5 linked regions of the Nothobranchius furzeri genome follow. The protein of the gene in region 4 interacts with the protein of the main gene of each other region in a pairwise test. Links are inferred from orthologs where the notes say so. Each region holds a gene or a part of one and is shown on either strand. Other genes may lie near its edges.

What was found.
Region 1: the proteins of pih1d2 (region 4) and igf2bp3 interact in a two-hybrid assay, tested with the Homo sapiens proteins (2 studies listed by BioGRID and IntAct). The two-hybrid records come from large-scale screens. The link is inferred for Nothobranchius furzeri from reciprocal best matches to the Homo sapiens genes PIH1D2 and IGF2BP3.
Region 2: the proteins of pih1d2 (region 4) and gfap interact in binary tests that used the Homo sapiens proteins (3 or more experiments, as listed by UniProt). The two-hybrid records come from large-scale screens. The link is inferred for Nothobranchius furzeri from reciprocal best matches to the Homo sapiens genes PIH1D2 and GFAP.
Region 3: the proteins of pih1d2 (region 4) and eif4a2 interact in binary tests that used the Homo sapiens proteins (3 or more experiments, as listed by UniProt). The two-hybrid records come from large-scale screens. The link is inferred for Nothobranchius furzeri from reciprocal best matches to the Homo sapiens genes PIH1D2 and EIF4A2.
Region 5: the proteins of pih1d2 (region 4) and spred1 interact in binary tests that used the Homo sapiens proteins (3 or more experiments, as listed by UniProt). The link is inferred for Nothobranchius furzeri from reciprocal best matches to the Homo sapiens genes PIH1D2 and SPRED1.

Annotation. Positions count from the first base shown.
Region 1 is NC_091751.1:26,461,699-26,464,672, forward strand, and holds part of igf2bp3 (insulin-like growth factor 2 mRNA-binding protein 3), read right to left. Parts: intron 1,885-2,974; coding exon 1,762-1,884; intron 1,648-1,761; coding exon 1,573-1,647; intron 427-1,572; coding exon 295-426; intron 219-294; coding exon 105-218; intron 23-104; coding exon 1-22. UniProt on the Homo sapiens protein: RNA-binding factor that may recruit target transcripts to cytoplasmic protein-RNA complexes (mRNPs). This transcript 'caging' into mRNPs allows mRNA transport and transient storage.
Region 2 is NC_091745.1:10,095,909-10,100,124, forward strand, and holds the start of gfap (glial fibrillary acidic protein), read left to right. Parts: upstream 1-1,412; 5' UTR 1,413-1,429; coding exon 1,430-1,968; intron 1,969-3,281; coding exon 3,282-3,342; intron 3,343-3,436; coding exon 3,437-3,532; intron 3,533-3,614; coding exon 3,615-3,776; intron 3,777-4,216.
Region 3 is NC_091751.1:69,527,093-69,531,264, forward strand, and holds the start of eif4a2 (eukaryotic initiation factor 4A-II), read left to right. Parts: upstream 1-1,364; 5' UTR 1,365-1,492; coding exon 1,493-1,521; intron 1,522-2,170; coding exon 2,171-2,228; intron 2,229-4,172. UniProt on the Homo sapiens protein: ATP-dependent RNA helicase which is a subunit of the eIF4F complex involved in cap recognition and is required for mRNA binding to ribosome.
Region 4 is NC_091753.1:48,839,195-48,843,201, forward strand, and holds the start of pih1d2 (PIH1 domain-containing protein 2), read right to left. Parts: upstream 2,806-4,007; 5' UTR 2,315-2,805; coding exon 2,132-2,314; intron 1,581-2,131; coding exon 1,454-1,580; intron 1,389-1,453; coding exon 1,155-1,388; intron 1,066-1,154; coding exon 791-1,065; intron 648-790; coding exon 513-647; 3' UTR 1-512. Other genes in the region: tmprss5 (transmembrane protease serine 5), read right to left, coding at 3,245-3,253, 3,601-3,753.
Region 5 is NC_091758.1:26,594,185-26,597,020, forward strand, and holds the end of spred1 (sprouty-related, EVH1 domain-containing protein 1), read left to right. Parts: intron 1-1,223; coding exon 1,224-1,352; intron 1,353-1,448; coding exon 1,449-2,135; 3' UTR 2,136-2,333; downstream 2,334-2,836. UniProt on the Homo sapiens protein: Tyrosine kinase substrate that inhibits growth-factor-mediated activation of MAP kinase. Negatively regulates hematopoiesis of bone marrow.

The sequences.
Region 1 (2,974 bases), on a different chromosome or scaffold from region 4:
CCTGAATCTTCCTCTGAGCCAGCTGGACCACACAATGACACCATCAGGAACAAAGCCAAGTCTTTCCCCCCTAGCTCCTCATCAAGCCTGTGTTCATGACCCACCTGGCACGCGAAGAAGTGTCCGCTAATCTTTACAATGACCTGGTCGTTCTCATCGGGCGTCTGGTCCCTGGGCACCACCACCTCAGCACAGGTCAAATTCTGAAGCTCGTTTACCTGAAGATGCATCAAGGAACCAAATGTAGCACTGATGAGTAATTCAGTCGTGTGCGAAATCCTGTCACCTTCTCACCGTTTTTCCACCCTTTCCAATGACGCGTCCCGCAGCAAACGAGGGAACTTTGATATGCGCTTCCAGCTTCACCTCCTCCTTGGGTCCAAAGAAGTTCTCTTCTTTTAGTTTGCCAAATATACGACACTGGGCCTGTAACCAGAAGGGTTCGAGTAAAGGGGTTTTTAAACTCGGGAACCTACACGTCACTGTAACACACAAACAGCTCACAGACAGATGAAGGGCTATGGCAGGGGGCCCAAACTCTTGATTTTCATTAACAGGCTGAAATGGTGATTCGATTGAGTAAAGGCATGTTGGAGCAGGGAAACCACTAAAACATGCTAGAAAGCAGTCCCTGGGTTGGGGCTTAATGTCTCCGGCTCGCTGCAGCTACAATGGAGGACTGAGCCGCCTGCATGTGCTGTAGAAGAGGGGAAAGGCAGGGGAGTGGCAAGCCTTTCTAACGTGTGGGTGATGTACACACACACACACACACACTTATTTATTCTAATTTATTTGGAAATTTGTTTAATTTTTTGTTTTCTTGTTTTGTACGAAGCTGAAGTTATAAATATAAAAAGCAAAACGTTTGATTTCATAAATGATCAATTTGAACTCTAAGTAAACGCAAATTTTTATTGCCAATTAAGATAGATAAATCACAACAAGCAACCTGAGTTCATGTACATTTAGGGGTGGTGCTCAATACGTTTGAGCTTGCAGAGGCTGCGGTTCTGCTGAGGTACGAGCAAAGAGCACTGGGAGTGAGCTTGGGATGAAAGACGGTTCCAGGGCATCTGTTTCAGCACAGAGAATTAAGCCAGAGGAGAAAGTAGCTTCAGACGGCAGGATCTGGAGTCGTAGTTCCTGATATTTAGGCATCTCTTCTCTGATTGGCTAACAGCAACACGACTCAAACCACCGACTCTGTTAGCGCTGCAATGTTGATGTTTTATTTGCACCAGTAACACAAGCCTGGAGTTCTGCTGTGTAGTGGAGTTGCTAATGCTAACGTTAGCTTCTACTAGGCAGAGACGTTGCCGTTTCCTGATGCTAAAACAGCCTTCCCCGTTGCAAGTCAAGATGGGTGAGTCCATGAATGTTAAGTAGTCCTGTCAGACATTTCTGAACCAAGCATTTTTTTTGGTCTATTTTCTATCAGAGGCTAACGCAGGAAATAGGTGTAGGAGATCGTTTTCACGTTTAGCCTGCATGCTAACTCAGCGGCCAATCGTTTTCAATACCGAGTAAAACGATGGTCAGTGAACCTGCTCCTAAATGTGAAGGTAGCTTCACCTTAAACTGAGCCTCTGGAGGTCCAACAATGATGACCATCCTCTGCTTGGCATCCATTCCTTCTGCAGGAGCAATCTGACACACACACACACACACACACACACACACACTGAATTAATAAACAGCTTTACGTTCGTTCATCATGTTCCTGGCGTACGCTCAGCATCACACATTTCATCCGTCACTCACCTTGATTGAGGCTCCTGCAAAATGTGACAGCTGTTTGATGTGCTGACCCTGTTTTCCGATGATGGCTCCCACTGCTAGTGCAGGGATGAACAGGTGAACGGTCTCCGACTCCGGTTGTCCCTGCTGGGCAAAAACAACGTGGTTCTACAGCGGCCAGTCTACCAGTCAAATGTCACGTGGACACCATCGACTCGTCGTCCTTGCAACCATGATGCCGTTGCAGAAAGTGGGTGGAGCAGAAGCTGTTCTATCATTTAGGAGTTGGGTTTAGTTTATACTAATCCATCAGCAGCTATGAGCTCACGAGCACACGTATTAACAGAGACATTTTCCATTTATACTTGTCGGTACGGCATTTTGATGCAAAGAACTCGCATCAGGGGCAAAAATAATGTAGGTTTTGTGTGAAAATGCGTCCAGGACTAAAAATGTGCATCACTTAAGTTACGTCATGGAACCAGACATGGAGAAAAACCGCGGGAAAATGGCTGCAAGTTCAGGGAACCTCCAATCCTTCCGTCAGGAGGAAAGAAGTACCATAAATCTGGCCATGTGGTGAGTAGCAGCTACGCTGGGGGGGGGGGGGGGGGGGGGGGGGGAGAGGATTCTGTGGTGACGTGCCCATGTCCGATTTGTAGTCGTGCTAATTACAAACTTTTACTACCTGATGAATATCAAAGTACGTGACTGGCATGGTCCAAACACTCATTAGTTTTCATTTAAACTGCAGTACAACATGTGCGTTCCAGCACGTGAAGCAAAGCAAAATTAGCTCTTTAAGCTCCGATGACTTGGCATTTATTTTTTGTTCTTCCGGGGGCCCATGAGCCGGCTGGAAAGTGAGGTGGTTTAGGCTCCCTATCGGGAGTTCTTGCGATCTGTGACTTTTGACGAATACTTGGAAAAGTGGGTTGGACTCCATCCGTCCTCACGAGCCTGTTGATAGAGCGCACTTGCGACGGCGGATAGTGGCATTGCGTGTCTCCGCACCGATGCAGACGATGACGTATAAACTAGACTTAACTCTTTAAACCCCTGGTTGATCAGAAGAGGCATCTGTCTAGCACTGTGGCCGCTTCAAGCTCTTGTTTGTTGCATTTAATTCTGTGGAAAGCCACAGTTTGACTTATCATGCGTTGAGTGACCAAAGATAGTATTTAGACAACCGTTACACCTAAAGACTACACGGACAGGAAGAAGATTTCTTATCCAG
Region 2 (4,216 bases), on a different chromosome or scaffold from region 4:
CACTTCACCTGCTTCCTGGCCTCATTAGGTAACATTGTTGCACTGAGGGACCCTTCTGGCCACTTACAGAAGAAAGCAGGTCACATTCTCTTCTTCCTGCTCGACTTTAGACGAAGAAAAAGTCAAGAGAAGATTTGCTGAAGTGCTCTGATGTAGCCGGCCCAGCGGTTGTCAAGGTAATGAGTCAAAAGGGTTTTGTAATGCAGCCTCCGTTTGTCATTCTGAAGTTCAGATTAGGTTTGCACTCACCGAACCCCCCCCCCCCCCGTCCTTCTTGTATTCATCGTCGTGCTCCTCTTCATCTACTCCGTCTATCTGTCTCTCCAAGCAGCCGGATGTCAAATAACCTGAAACTAGTTCACAATCATCAGAATCAAAATCTTGTAACTCCTTTTCTTCTTCTACAGCGGTTTGCATCCTCCACGATGATGACAGGATGAATGCTATCATTACCCACAAATGCTGAAAGGATGAATTCATGTATTACTCTACTGTGAAATGAGAAGGTAGCTTTATATAACTGATGATTATTTATCAGACCAGTGATTAAATCCTTTCTGAGAAATGTTAGCTCTGGTCCATGAACTATTTGATTGGCTTCTGCGTGGATCCATAACCAGTTCGAATTAAATCTTTATTTAATTTGTTACCAACAGCCTCGCAAACACTGAAAGCTTGAGCCACAGATGATCAGCAGGGTCTCTCATGTCAGACCTTTGCTGATTTGTCTTCCTGTTTATCTTTAAATAAAACTTTCAGAATGTGTTCATTTATTGTCTCCTCCTATACTTCCTTCATTTTAAGCATTGCAGATATGGATGCAGGACGGAAAACCTGTAACTCTAAAAATGAATCCAATGTTTTAAATTATTCTCGAGTTTATTAGCAGTTATGTCGTTACGTAACTAGATCCCAACAGGAATCGGGAGGAATGTTGATAGTTCAGTCCTACATCTTGTTTATTTAGAGCTCAAAGCATGCTGTGAGCATGTGATTTTATCTTCTGTCTTTATTGCCGACCTCCCCAACATGCTCTTCTGTTTGGACCGGTCCTCCTGCCGCGGCTGCGAGAGTGTGTGTGGTCAGGTTGAATTTGTGGCCAGACTCTGTTGCACAAAATTCCTTTTCATTCGCTTGGAACAGAAAGAAAGAGGGCGAACAAAAACGGGGCGAACGTAAGCGTGAAAGAGTGAGCCCAAGGGGAGAAAAGGGGGAGACGAGAGGGTAAAAAAAAAAATCCAGGAGACATTTGTAGTTGAGTGGAGGAGCACAGACAATCCCTGGCGCATGTAAACCTCCCCTTTGCCATCTCTTTTTGTTCCATTCACTGCCTGCCACCCTCCTCTCTCACTGCCCCAGCCTGTGGCCTCTCTGCTGGACTTGGGGTGGGGGGGTTTCTCCCTATATAAAAGCCCTGTTTGTCCCCTGAATGAGCTTATTCCCTATCATGGACAGCCTTAGAGCACAGTCCTCATACAGGAGACGTTTTGGGCCGCAGAGCTCAAGCAGCTCAGGAGGTAAAATAGGTGGACTATCTTCCCACCGCCTCTCCTGGCATGGCGCCCCTCGAAGCATCACCCACTCCAGCCCCGTCTCCCGGGTCTCCCTGGGCTCCTCCAGCACGGCCTTGCTGCTGGGCAGCCCCGTTGACCGGCTGGACTTCTCAGCTGACTCCTTGTTGAAGGCCCAGTACAAAGAAACTCGTACCAACGAGAAGATGGAGATGATGGGCCTGAACGACCGCTTTGCCAGCTACATAGAGAAGGTGCGGCTTTTGGAGCAGCAGAACAAAGTTCTGGTGGCAGAACTGAACCAGCTGAAGGGGAAGGAGCCTAGCCGCCTGGGGGACATCTACCAGATGGAGCTGAGAGATCTACGACGGCAGGTGGACGATCTCACCAATGGCAAGGCTCGTCTGGAGATAGAGAGGGACAACCTGTCTGCAGACCTGGGCACGCTCAAGCAGAGGTAGGAGAGAACGGTCCCAAAGTAGACCTGGGCCTTTGTGTGTCTTGTGTGCTCGCTGTCCTATTGATGCTTCACAGAAATAATGATGGGATTAAAACTTTTCCCCTAGTCTTTTCTTCCCATCAGCTTATAAATCCAGGAGAAAACCGGAACAGCCCCCAAAAAAGTCTCAGTGCTTCAAACTACATAAAGAGGAGTAATTTGACCTTGTGAAGAATGTTTTTGTTAATTCCTGTAAATACACCTGTCATGTCTGTATTTACGTAGCGCTTCTGTTTACATGTGTTTGTGGTTGGTTGGAATGCAGAGCGCTGTGGTCTGCCTGGGCTTTACTCCTCTATCCCTCTTTACAAACGTGATCCTGACTGAACCCTCGCTGCCATTCAGTCAGTGTGGAGGAATGAAGCAGCACAATGGTGGCGCTCCACAAAGGGAACAGAATGCCAGGCAGATGTAGCTTTCCTCTCTTTCTCCAAAGCACAAAGTCACCACCGCTGGTTATCCGGCTCCTTTTCTCCACATCCACCATCACGCCTCATGTCAGCTTTTTCATTTTGAGACAGGCCAATAGAAAGTCTCAGGGTGGAAACTGGAGGGTTTTTTTTTTTTTTGCCCTCTGACCAAGCAGCTGCTGGTCCTGTGAGAGATTGCAGGATGAATAGGGATGCTGCTGCTTCAGGGGTTAAAGGTCACCTTTTTTAAAATTCGTGCTGCTCTTTCTGTTAGCAACCTCTGCATGAAGCTGCATGATGTCACTCTACGTTTCATTTGCTTCTAGTGGGTAGGATCAGTCTGTGTGCTGCGCTGACACGGATTCTCTCTCTCTCTGTGTGTGTGTGTGTGTGTGTGTGTGTGTGTGTGTGTGTGTGTGTGTGTGTGTGTTCCATCCCGTGGGAAAGGTCTCCTCCGGCTGTTAGATTAGACTGGAAGTGTAATGATGCGTAAGCCGCTGCTCTTTCAGCTGAGTCCTGCCACTCCTCTGCAGCTCAGTAGAAGACAAAACAAAAATCTGAACACATTTTTAAAATACGTTTAATTTTTCTTAATTAAACTTTAGCTAACTAAACTTTGCGCAGGAGTTTGTTTTTTCTGACCCAAGGACCCCAGACATTGTGCTCTCATTTGTGATATATATATATATATATATATATATATATATATATATATATATATATATATATATATATATATATATATATATATATATATATACATATATACATATCAAATGTTTCAGAAATATTTTAGTGTAATTTAATTCCTCCTGGCTGGGAACTCTCAGTAAGAAGCTCTTCACATTTTTCTTGACTCAGGCTGCAGGATGAAATGGGCCTCCGACAGGAAGCAGAGAACAGCTTGAACGCCTTCAGACAGGTGGAAATATTAGTAATATTAAAAAATCTTTAAAATATTGACAATCTCAATGTTGTTTGCTGTCATCCTGCGATGTTTCTCATTATTCACACAGGATGTGGATGAAGCAGCGCTCAGTCGGGTCCAGTTGGAGAGAAAGATCGAGGCCCTGCAGGATGAAATTAATTTCCTGAAGAAAATTCATGAAGAAGTATGAAGAAACGCTGAAGTTGGTCCAAAACAACTAGACAGATTTTAGCAAAATCACGACTTTTGCCACGTTTTTCTTCCAGGAGCTGCGTGAGCTGCAGGAGCAGATCATGGCCCAACAGGTCCACGTTGACGTGGATGTGTCAAAACCAGATTTAACTGCTGCTCTGAGAGACATCAGAGTTCAGTACGAGAATATGGCCACTTCAAACCTGCAGGAGACAGAGGACTGGTACCGATCCAAGGTCAAATATTTTACTTTTAAAGGAGGGATTTACTCATTTATTCAATACTTGTGCAGTGTTCTTTAGTGTAATTCAATGCCTTATGAGCCATAAAAAAAAATAAAGCTATGATGCTCCTGTTATGAGATGCAGATGTTTTCTGGTGCAGAGATGGACTGAAAACAGTAGAATTACTCATTACTATTATTGAATTGCACACGTCTTGCTTCTGATTGGCTAACAGAACATGTTCAGCCATGTCACTGTCACCAAAACACCCTCCGCTCGCTCTCCCTGCTGCAAAAAAAACAAGCCTTCCTGTGGACGGGCGCTTGCCAAGATGGGCGAGACCATGAATGCAAATTCATAGTGTGACATAGATGTGTGAGGATTTTAAAATCCTAGAGTTTCACCATCTATTTTCTATCAGAAGGTAATGCAGGAGATAGGTGTAGGAGACT
Region 3 (4,172 bases), on a different chromosome or scaffold from region 4:
CTTCATTTCAGCCCAGTCACTAGCGCGTTTTATTACAATGATCCAACGTTTGTGGCGCTCCGGATCTTGGGGAATCCTGTAGATGACTCATCCCTTATGTCGTCCGCGTCTGTTCTGCATCCTGGGGCTCAACGGGAATCTACCATATTTCCTGTTCGATTGAGTTTTCTGACAATAACAAATAGTCCAGCTGCCGGCTTCTGCCTGCCAATATGGCGCCGTTTCGATTTGAACTGTTGCATGCCGGGAGAAGTGACGTCAACTCCCGGAGCTCTATATCCTCTTGTTGCCCTTTCTTTTCTGCATAAATTGGAGCGCCGTGAACAGCTGCATGCCCACTGTTCAGCCTGATTTTGTTATGTGTCCTGTAATGTGCGGTAGGGCAAATCTCGGACAGGTTGTTCTGAAACTGAATTTCATTGTGCTGGGACGATGGCTCAATAACAATTAAAGTGATTGTGATTCTGAATAGTTCAGATTTTTTTACGTGGGAAAGTTACGGAATTTTGTTATCTTCCCTTTTTTAAAACAATCTTTGATTAACTCCAGTTTGGAGAAACAGATTACTTTTAACCAGACAGTTATTTACAGTTACAATGTGAATGTCTGTCATCAACAAAAGAAATGTTAAAGCAGTTGATATAACAGCTTTTTAAATACTATTTTTAAACGTTGCTACCAATTTTTCATTTAATGTTGCAGGAGTGATTTTCTACTGATTTTTGCTGTAAATATACTAAGATTCATATGAAAATAACAGTGTGTGGCCAACTGTACTACAGTGCCATGAAATGTTAGCCCAAACTGCTGTGATTTTTTTTAGGTTGGAGTTGTTTTACATGGCAGACACACACTTGTACCAGGCCCCATTTTGAGTGTTTGCTGTCTATCTGATTATCTGTGCTTCTATGAAGTGAAAACAATCGAAAAGCTATCTATAACAGACGAAGTAACCTTTCAACAAAAAAACTTCTTCTCTAGATCTGAACTGTCGCTTTGAGTATATTCCTCCATCAGTGTGTTAATTATTATCAAATCTTATTCCTTCTTTTAAAAATCCTGCCAATCAAGTGACTGCGGGGGAAAAAAACATTGTTTTATGACAGCATTTCAGTTTTTTCATTATCAACATTCATCATTGTTTGGAACCGGAAGTCTGGCTTCTAATATATTCCACAACCTAGTCACGATGAATTTTGACCCACCTGTTACACTATAGAGGTCGAGGTACTACCCCATTACTGCATTATACCTCCGCACAGAAATATAGTCTTGAGCGATTTAAACACATTATCAGTTTATTTACAAATATGTTGGACATAGTAAACTGTGGATAAAATGTCAAACACACAATCAATTAGTCAGTCAAATAATATTTTTGTTAACCAACGTGAGCTGTAGAGATGTCAGTGAAGATCGTCTGACTCCATAAAAGCAGTTGGCGTCGCCATTAGCGATCTTTTCAGTCGCATGCTGCGGTTGTGAACGGATCATGTCTGGCGACTCTGCTGATTACAACAGGTAATAAGTCTGCATTCAGTCACTTCCAGACACGAAACGTAATGATCGGTGTTACCTAAACCTTCGATTCCGGTTAGAAGTACAAACGGTAACTTAGTAATATGTCGTTAGCTAGGCCCTAATGCTGCTAGTCGGAAGTGATTTGGTTGCTAGTGTTAGCGGTTAGCCCCTAGGTTCCGCGCTGTTCCACATTTAAACGACGTCTTCGCTCTCCTCTCTGCGCTTGGCTACTCGGACATTTTTCCTGTTTTCGGTAGTGTGGAGGTAATTTGTCGGGCATGACCACAGCTCGGCCTAGTTCTCGGAAGAAACCGCTGTTGGCTTCACAGGCCCAATCACCCGACATATTAGCCAATAGCGGGGAAAGTCCATGTCAGAAAGCACTGAACGCGTGGGACGGTGATTTTATTTTATTTTTTTAATTTTCGAAATCACGTGTGCCGTAGTTGGCGTGTGAACAGTTCTCACATGGATAGAGGTTTCATAAGTGGGCATTTTCGGAGGGGCAGGTAGATGCGCCGGCAGTGGAATTTGACGCACGTGCCCACTGGAGCTCCAGGCAGCGAAATAAGACTCACTGGGCGTGACCCTCCCCCCTAATTTAAACTGCATTGAGTACATTTGAACCGGTAACGCATTTTTCTTCCAGCTCAAGAGACCGAGACCATGGAGGGCCAGATGGGATGGAGCCTGATGGTGTCATCGAGGTAACATTAAACACCACATATATGGAGCTATTACCCCTGGGTCGGCACGGCCCGGCCCTTGTAGGTTAGTTGCGTGTACATCTGGGTTATATGCAGGGCAGAGACCTTTGAAGAGGCGGGTGCTCAAAGTTCATAAAGGGGCACATATAGAGCAACATTTTTAAACAGATTCACCATCCAACAAGTTAAAAAGTTCACATAATGAGACTCTTGAAGTCTTTGGTGTGACCCGACAGAGAATCGAACCTGATCTCGCAGTCCCAGGGAGGACACTACCACTAGGCCACTGAGCTGGTCCCAAGTTGTCCTTCTGTCTGTATTTGTATTCGACACTGACTGAAGACAGCTCATGTCAGAGGTGGTAAAATATGAGTAAAGTAAAATAAATGCAACCACAAGAAGTTATCCAGCGTGATCTGCAGCTATGGTAGCTGAGATCTTTTCCTGTCTGTAAGAAGTTCCTGGTCCAATTCCACAATCTCACTCTGAACCCTAAACTTGAGAGCTCTGCTGCCAACCTAACACCCTTTACAGAAGGCCACACACACACACACATTTCATTTCCAGAATACTGCTATGGCCATAACTTTGCTTCACGGTGCTGACCCGGAGTATTTACCTCATTATTTATTTCTAGTGTTGTAATAACATGATAGTCAACAATAAAAATACACAATAATGTAATAAAACATGCAGTTATGCTCACATTCACTTTTACCATCTCTTGGTGGGCAGCAGAACATTTATCACATGTTTAACCCTCTTATGATCATAAATATAACTGGTATTGTTTTTCTGGCTGTGAAATGGTTCCAAAAAGTGCAAAATGTTTGTTACTCTGCTCCTTTTATCAGAACAACCTCAGCTTTCAGTGTCTGGTTTCTATTTAGTATTTATGTTGATCAAAGTCTGTAAAAATGCAGCTTAAATGAAAAAAAAATTGAAATTTTTACATTTATTACTAAATAGGAACCTCAAAAGGACTTGGTCAAACTATTTTTAATGAACAGTTTAAACTCTGAACTTAATCACAAACAGTCAGAAAACAGTGCGACCTCTGGCCTCATGTTTACCAGTTTAATGACCGCAGACCTGTCTGACCACAGGTCTGTGCTCTGGTTCAGAGAACGACATGAAGTAAAATAAATATTAGGTAAAATAAAATAACACTCACACATCACAACTGTCTGGAAATTTCTATCAGCATAATAACTATTGATAAGCCGGATAAAAAGTAATAACAAAAGGCGAAATCTAAACATTTCATGACAAAAAGTCAACTAATAAAATTCTGCACAGATATAAAATTATATTTTCAGCTAAATAAATATTTATTGTAAGTATAAATAATGCTGGAATGAAGCTGAATCTTACATTTGGTAAATAGTCGAGCGTTTGACAGTAATCAGTCACCAGGAGCTTCTGGGACATCTAAGGTGGATTTTCTTTGTGACGTTTCCATAACGTTATAAAATCTGCTGATGCAGGTGATCAGTTCTCTCCGCTTCGTTCTCCGCTCTCCCGTCGCGGTTTGCTCTGTTTCCTGTGATGCTGAAAAGCTAATGGCGATTTTCTTAATACCAACCGTTGGAATTATTTTCATTCGATTAGTTTTTATGACGCGGAGAATCTCCCGTGTCCTCTTTTCTGTCTCAGACATGCTGACTCTGCTCAACACGCACCAACCACGGACTCGAATGTTAATGTAAACAAAAGCTGATATTAAAATCCATCCAGCTGACGTGATGCAGGCAGAATAAAACACTCACAGCTAGCTGAGCGCAGACTCCAGCCGACGAGCAAAACGCCGGTTTCAGTCGTCTCCATGGCGACTGATTTAGAGCGACAGCAGGGACAGCCAATCACATGTTGGCACGACACGGCAGAGCTAAACTGTGAGCTTGTGGGCGGGTCTAAGGGTTCAGCATGAGGAGGCTGCCTCCA
Region 4 (4,007 bases):
TGTTAGCTAAAGCTGTAATCGGTCCAGAAACCTCAAAATGGGAAAAAAAAGTTTACTGACATTTTTCACAGGTTCCATGTTGCCAAATGTTGTTGTTGTTGTTGTTGTTCTGCATCAGTTTGGATGTTTTAATAAACATAAATTATTGCATGGATCATTTTACTCAACCATTTCCCCTTTAAATTAGCAACAAAAGGGTTCTGCATCTCACTGTTGTCCACCTCTAGCGAAACATCAGGAAACCTTCACAGAATGTTATAAAGACTAACACAGAGGTTAAGTAACAAGTGGATTTTGGCCCACATGGGGACAATTCCACACGTTTTCCCCAAAACAAACCCTTGCTGCTGAACGTGGAACGACTCCCAGGCAGATGTTTGTTGTATGTTTGAGCGTCTGTGCGTTCCCTAGAAAGGTTTTTTTTTTTGTTTACTTTGATGTATGTTTAGCCTCAGAATCCTCCGTTATCTCTGTGTTTATTATATTTCTTGCTTCTCCATAATGGCGACTGATTACAAAACATCCACCGTCAGTACAAGCCTTTGTTTCTTCTTGTTGAAGACAGCAGACGCGGTGTCTTCGTTTACAGTTACCGGCAGCTCCAGAAGCAGGTGGTACACGTCCGCCACCTCCAGAAGAACATCCTCCTGCAGAGAAAAATGCATCCAGGACTCTGTAATACTCCCTGTAGACCTGTTATGTGTTTTTATCAGATCCAGCGATGCGCTGAAGCCCAACGGACTCTTAAGTGACTCGCTATAACTCTTAGAGGGTTTGTGTGACTGCTAACCTTTGACACTCTCAGCTGGCACTCCGACACGGTGCGAACCTTTGGCAGCTCCACTGTCAGCTCCAGGCTGCGAAGAACTCCTTCTGTGTTGGTCTTCACCTCAAGTTGGTACTCTGGCTTCTGAGGCTCCACAGAAGTGGCAGAGATTACTTGGATCAAGTTCTTTTTGGGTCGCTCTGCAGGTCTACAGATAATTTGGGCTGTAGGGTTCTCTTCCTGTTTCCCTGACTGCTGGGATGAGAGTTGCTGCAGGAGGGAATGTGGAGTCTGACTCACTGTGGTAAGAAAGGTGATAATACATTTTAAATATCAGACTAAACTAAGCTTAAGCGGAGATAATAACAGGGATTAAACACTCGTTTACCTGTTTGTGTTGGTTTGAATGTGTAGTGCTGCTTCTGAAACCCAAGTCGACACTTAAATTGATCCGGGCTGCCATTTGGGCTACACCGGACAACACTGAACTCCTGAGATAGCTGCATCCCATGATGCTGCTGGGCAAAGTTCAGGGCCAGCTTATAGACATAATTAATGTCTTTATCTTTATTCTTCTGTAGCACCGCCGGATTTAACGCCACATCCAACACGACAAACCAGCCTGCATGGAGAAAAGCTTTGAGTTCATGTTTGTCTTAACGAGCAGGCCTGTGGTATAAAACACACCTTGGGCTTCAGTGGTGCCTGTTTCCAGTTTTCCTGTACACACCGGTAAAGAACTGCTGTCATCCCGAGGTGCAGGTACACTTTTCCAGCTGCATATATTAATGTAAAGCAAACCTGGTGTTGGTTCCTGATGAGAACACAGATGTACACTCACAACAGGACATTTCAAAATTATAAATAAGTTTGACTTCATTTATGAACGTGACACGAGTCAAAACTGTTCATCAAAGAATAATAACTACAAATTTTACTGATCCTTACACATTTATTTATGAATTTTCATTCTAGGCTGGTAAAATGTGGATATTTGAAGCTGGGGCAGTGAAGATTTATTCTTAAATTATATTTGCTAATTCTAAAATGTTGAAGTATGGATTATGAATTTCTTATTTTATTTTCACACCGTTGTTGCTACTCTAATGTTACATTATAACCATTGTTGCTCCAAAATAAAAATAAAAACTAATTCAATGATTTTTGTAGACGTTAACGAGTTTTAAATTATAACTATCGATTGGACATTTAAATATTAACATCTAAACTTATATTTAACAATAAAAAATGTTTTTCTAAAACAACAAATGGAGACTGAATGTATGATACATGGGGCTTCCATATATTAGCCTTCCTGAAGTACACCTGGCTGGAACTTCCTCACCTGTCGCCAGTTTAACTTACCAGGATTGGAGTTTTAATGCAGGAGTGGAGCTCAGGTGGAGAACATATTTCTGCTCCTTTCTTCATTTGCTCCTCGATGAATTTGTGGTATCCTGCTGGGTCATTCTGAGACAAGTCATCCAGCATGGACCAGAACTGGTTGACCTGCTGCAGGACATCCTCTGTCCGGCCAGCCGAGGACATGGTACGCTACCTGCTAGCTACTTTTAGCTAGCTAGCCCCTGCTGCTAGTTCGATTAGCTTCAATAGAGGAGGGATACAAGCTAGAAAAATGCTAGAGTGTAAGCGTTAAAAATAGAGGAAAAGGTTTGTATGTGGTATATTTAAAAAAAAGTGTCGTTATTGTTTTAAGAATTTAAAAACGAGCAAAGTCGTAATAAAAGCATTAACGATGCAAAAAGAGCCCCAGCTGCGCTAAAGTTCGTTGCTATGGAAACCACAAAACTTTAAATCGTCGCCACCTAGCGGATAAGATGAACTGCAGCTTTAGTAATCATACCCCACATAGCTGACTGGTCTGGGCCAGATCTGGCATCAGCATGGCACTGCTGGCTGACTGCTGGCATGGCAACCAGCGTTTCAGCCGAGTTCTGGCACTAAATACATACCAGACATGACCCAATAGTGGTTAAGGTGTATGTGGCCCGGATCTGTATGCTAAATGTGGGTCTATTAGGGCTGAACCTATGTTGCCCATTGCATGCAATTCTCCATCAAATAAATACTTCCTTTTTTTTCTAATTTTAGAGATACCAGCATCCCATTCAAAATTCTATGAATTGTTTTTATAATTTGTTTGCTAATACATTTAGGATACATTATGACAAATTTTGTCACTGCAAAAAACTTGGTAACGCTTTAAAAGATTGACTGATATATGTGGGGGTGGGGGTGGTTGAGTTGGTAGAAATCATGTTGCAGTCAGGCGAGCCAAGCCATTGTGTTAAAAAGAAGCATGATTTTATTATCAGTACATAAATAATATAACAGAAAACACATGTTGATACATTCTGTCTATTCATATGTGAACACCATATAACTGACATATGTATTTAATGTATGATTGTTCATAACGTCTCAAACACACTAAGGGCATCCTCTTGTTTGTTGTTTTCAGTAACTCTGCAAACAAAGAGAGTGATCATTAGCAATCAGTGTAAATTGTTTCATTGTGCAGCCTTTAGTGCTGCAGAGCAAAAACATAATGCAAATGACTGTAGTCAACAATCTCATGTGATCTAAACAGTTTTGATGTTGTAGTTCATTATTGCAAAGAGGGAAAAAAGGCCTTCTACTACTAGAAAAAGCAACTGAGAATGAAAGTTTTTGAAACAAATCTATAATTTTTAACTAATTAATTTGCTAACTATATTGCAGCTGTTTGATTAAACGGTATAGCACAATAGGGTTGGCATTACATTGTTTATCTTTGTGGTTTTTTGTTATTTTAACAGCAAAATAAACCAAACCTCAATTATATGATAGATCCAGTCCAAGAATTCAGCCACTTTGGTGTAAACCCCTGGATGGTTTGGTTCCGCACATCCTGTCCCCCAGCTGACGACTCCCACCAGCCTCCACACATTCTCATCCTGGCAAACCAGAGGACCGCCACTGTCCCCCTGGAGAGGTAGATGCACAAGCTCTTCTCTAAATCTCTAAGCACAAACAGTGGTGTCAAGTTCAAATACTTTGTTACCCTACTTAAGTAGAAATCGTGGGTATCCATACTCCACTGCAAATGCTATGTCCGCTGCTTAAATTTTCATACAATTTCCTCTGTCTTCTACTCCTTACAGTGTAAATTAGCCTTGTTGTTTATATTTCATTTCAGATTTTCATTGTTAAAGAAACCCTCAAAGATAAAAAGATATAT
Region 5 (2,836 bases), on a different chromosome or scaffold from region 4:
TTTTCTCCCTTTCTTGAGCTTTCACACAAAGACGCACACATGCATGCAACACAATCTCATTTTTTCCTGCTCTGTTCTTTCTCTTCTCTCTCTATCCTCTGTCTCCTGTTCCTTGCATTCCCCTGCAGACACTGTGGATGTGTGTTACGCCATTTGGTGTGTTTGAAGGCAAAGAAAGAGCAAAGTCACGCACATTCATGTGCTAGCAGTCGAGATGGGGGGGGGGGGGGGGGTGGAAGTCAAAGGAAGCATCTCTTAGCAACCACAGGACAGTAATTACTGTAGCAGCAGCTAGGAGCAAACCAGATTTCCGCTGTGCGTTAAAGCACTGGTGTGGGCTATTTTACACACGGCACTGACTAACCAGAGCCAGCAGCCTCCTCCACATGCACAGAGGAGAGAGGAGGAAAGGAGCTAACCCTGTCTTCATCAGGTTGATGTGTGAGACAAGAGGGCTAGCTGGACAGCGACTAGGGTTGGGTCGGAGTTAGGTGAGGTTACCTCAGTTTGCGTCAATGTTAGAAGTAGAAACAAAAGTCTCCTGAAGATCACATCCATCTTCATCTGTCAAACCTGAGATCATATCTGACATTTATTAGATGCTAATTCTAGACAACCACCCTAATTTCAACACTTGAGTTTTTCCTATCAGGTCAGTCGGTGCAAAGCGAAGAAAATATTTACTTTCATTTATCTCGTTGTATTGTTCAAAAGCATTTTTTTCTGGTGTGTGTTTGTTTGTGGGAACACATGCAAGCCTGATGGGAACTCTGAGTTCTTGCAACAGAAGGGCCTTGAGTCATCACCACACAACAAGTCATTTTGGCTGAGCGTGGGTGCAGGATGCCCCCTGGTGGTTCAATAACACACACACACACACACACACACACACACACATGGGCGAACACAGCCTACACACCTTGAGTCAAAGCTTTTCTAGTCATAAAAGCTGACCACTACTGCTCAACAGTGAAATAATATTCAAAGTGAGAATGTCAAATGTTTAAGCTGCAGTTTTGGTGTGTTTAATTATGTATTATTTATTGGTTAGTGATTTGGGTTGCTTATCAGGAATTCTAAACGTGTTTCTGCTAAATGTAGTAGTCACTGTAACGGCTATGAATCATGTTCTATATATGCCAAGGGGGCTGGTGTTCATCTAAAATTTTTAAAAGCCTTTTTTATTTTTGTGTTTAATAATAAACTCACTTTGGTTTCCTCAGGTGTGCAACGAGCCTCCCTCGATCTGCACCCCAATGAAAGAGACCTTCGTTGTCCCCACCGAGCCATTCCGAGGTTGCTACGTCCCAACGCAGCCCTTCAATGAAAACCGCCGCTACTTGCCTCCACCGGTGAGTTCCTGAAGCTGCCTCTTCTGTTTAAAAATTGCATCATGGAAAAACCTTTTCTGATTTTTTTTTTTATTGTTTCTGATGGTTTTCTTTAAGTCGACTCGTCGAGTCAGCTTTCACTTGGACGAAGAGGAGATTGTTCGCATCAACCCACGTAAAGACGTGTTCATCCGAGGCTATGAGGACTACCGCCACCCTGTCATGAGCAGACGCGATGCCGACCGCGAGGACATGGACTTCCCTGCATCTTTTAACAAACTGGACAGTAAGAAGTTTGAGTACCTTTTTCCTGATGGCCCCGGTGGAGACTCTCACTCTGGCCCCGGTTTGGGAATTGGAACAGGGATGGGGCTCGGGCTAGGCAAGGACACGGCCATCAAGACTCAGCCGTCGCCCCTTCTCAAGTCGAAGAAGGGCCGCCGGCGAAGAGAAGACGGCGAGCGCTCGCGTTGCATTTATTGTCGAGAGATGTTCAACCACGAAGACAATTGGCGGGGGCAGTGTCCGGATGCCCCCGACCCAATCAAGCAGTGTATCTACAAAGTCAGCTGCATGCTTTGTGCCGAGAGCATGCTGTATCACTGTATGTCCGACTCGGAGGGAGACTTTTCAGACCCGTGTTCGTGCGACACCTCCGACGAGCAGTTCTGCCTGCGCTGGCTGGCCCTGTTGGCGCTGTCGTTCATCGCGCCCTGCATGTGCTGCTACCTGCCCCTGCGCGCCTGCCACCACTGCGGCGAGGCCTGCCACTGCTGCGGGGGCAAGCACAAGGCTGCGGGATGACCCGACATCGGACACCGGGACACCCTCAAAGCTAGCTAACAAAGGCAGTGGATAAAAATGGAAAATGATTAGCCGGCATCCTTTTTTCATTCCTCTCCCTCTCAGAAGGGGAGATGTGTTGTTGATCCCCAGCTCTGAGGCTTTTTGGAGATTTCAGTTTGTGTTTGTCGCCGACAAGCAGCAGCAGCGGAGAACAAACTATTTGCTTTGCCGGAGCTCTAAGCATCAAGGTAAATGCAGGAGCTTAAACTGAGGCGAAGAGAAGGAGGAAACATTGCGAATAACAGACTTGGAGATGTTACACCTGTACACACACATTTACACACACACACACACACACACACCTCTCAGACCCACGCTCACGTTGGCAAAGCCAGGCCGCAATGTGTAACTTTATGAAGGAAAAGCGATAAAACAGACAACTACACCGTGTTGAGAACAAAAAAGCCAACTTCTTGCTGTTTGAGTATGCTAAAAGGGATGTGTTTGTGCTTTTTTTTTTTGTGGATTTGCAGATGGGTAACAGTGGCCTTTCCCTCATGGCTTAAGCGTTTGCTGACAATGTAATTACTCGCCAGAGAAACGTGCACTACATGATCATTTCCTCCAGTTCAAAATAACCTTTATGAAGTTCTTGTGGCATGTTGTCCAACATGTTTATTAGTGTAACTTTTAACATTTGGGAGATGTTTGTACTGGAT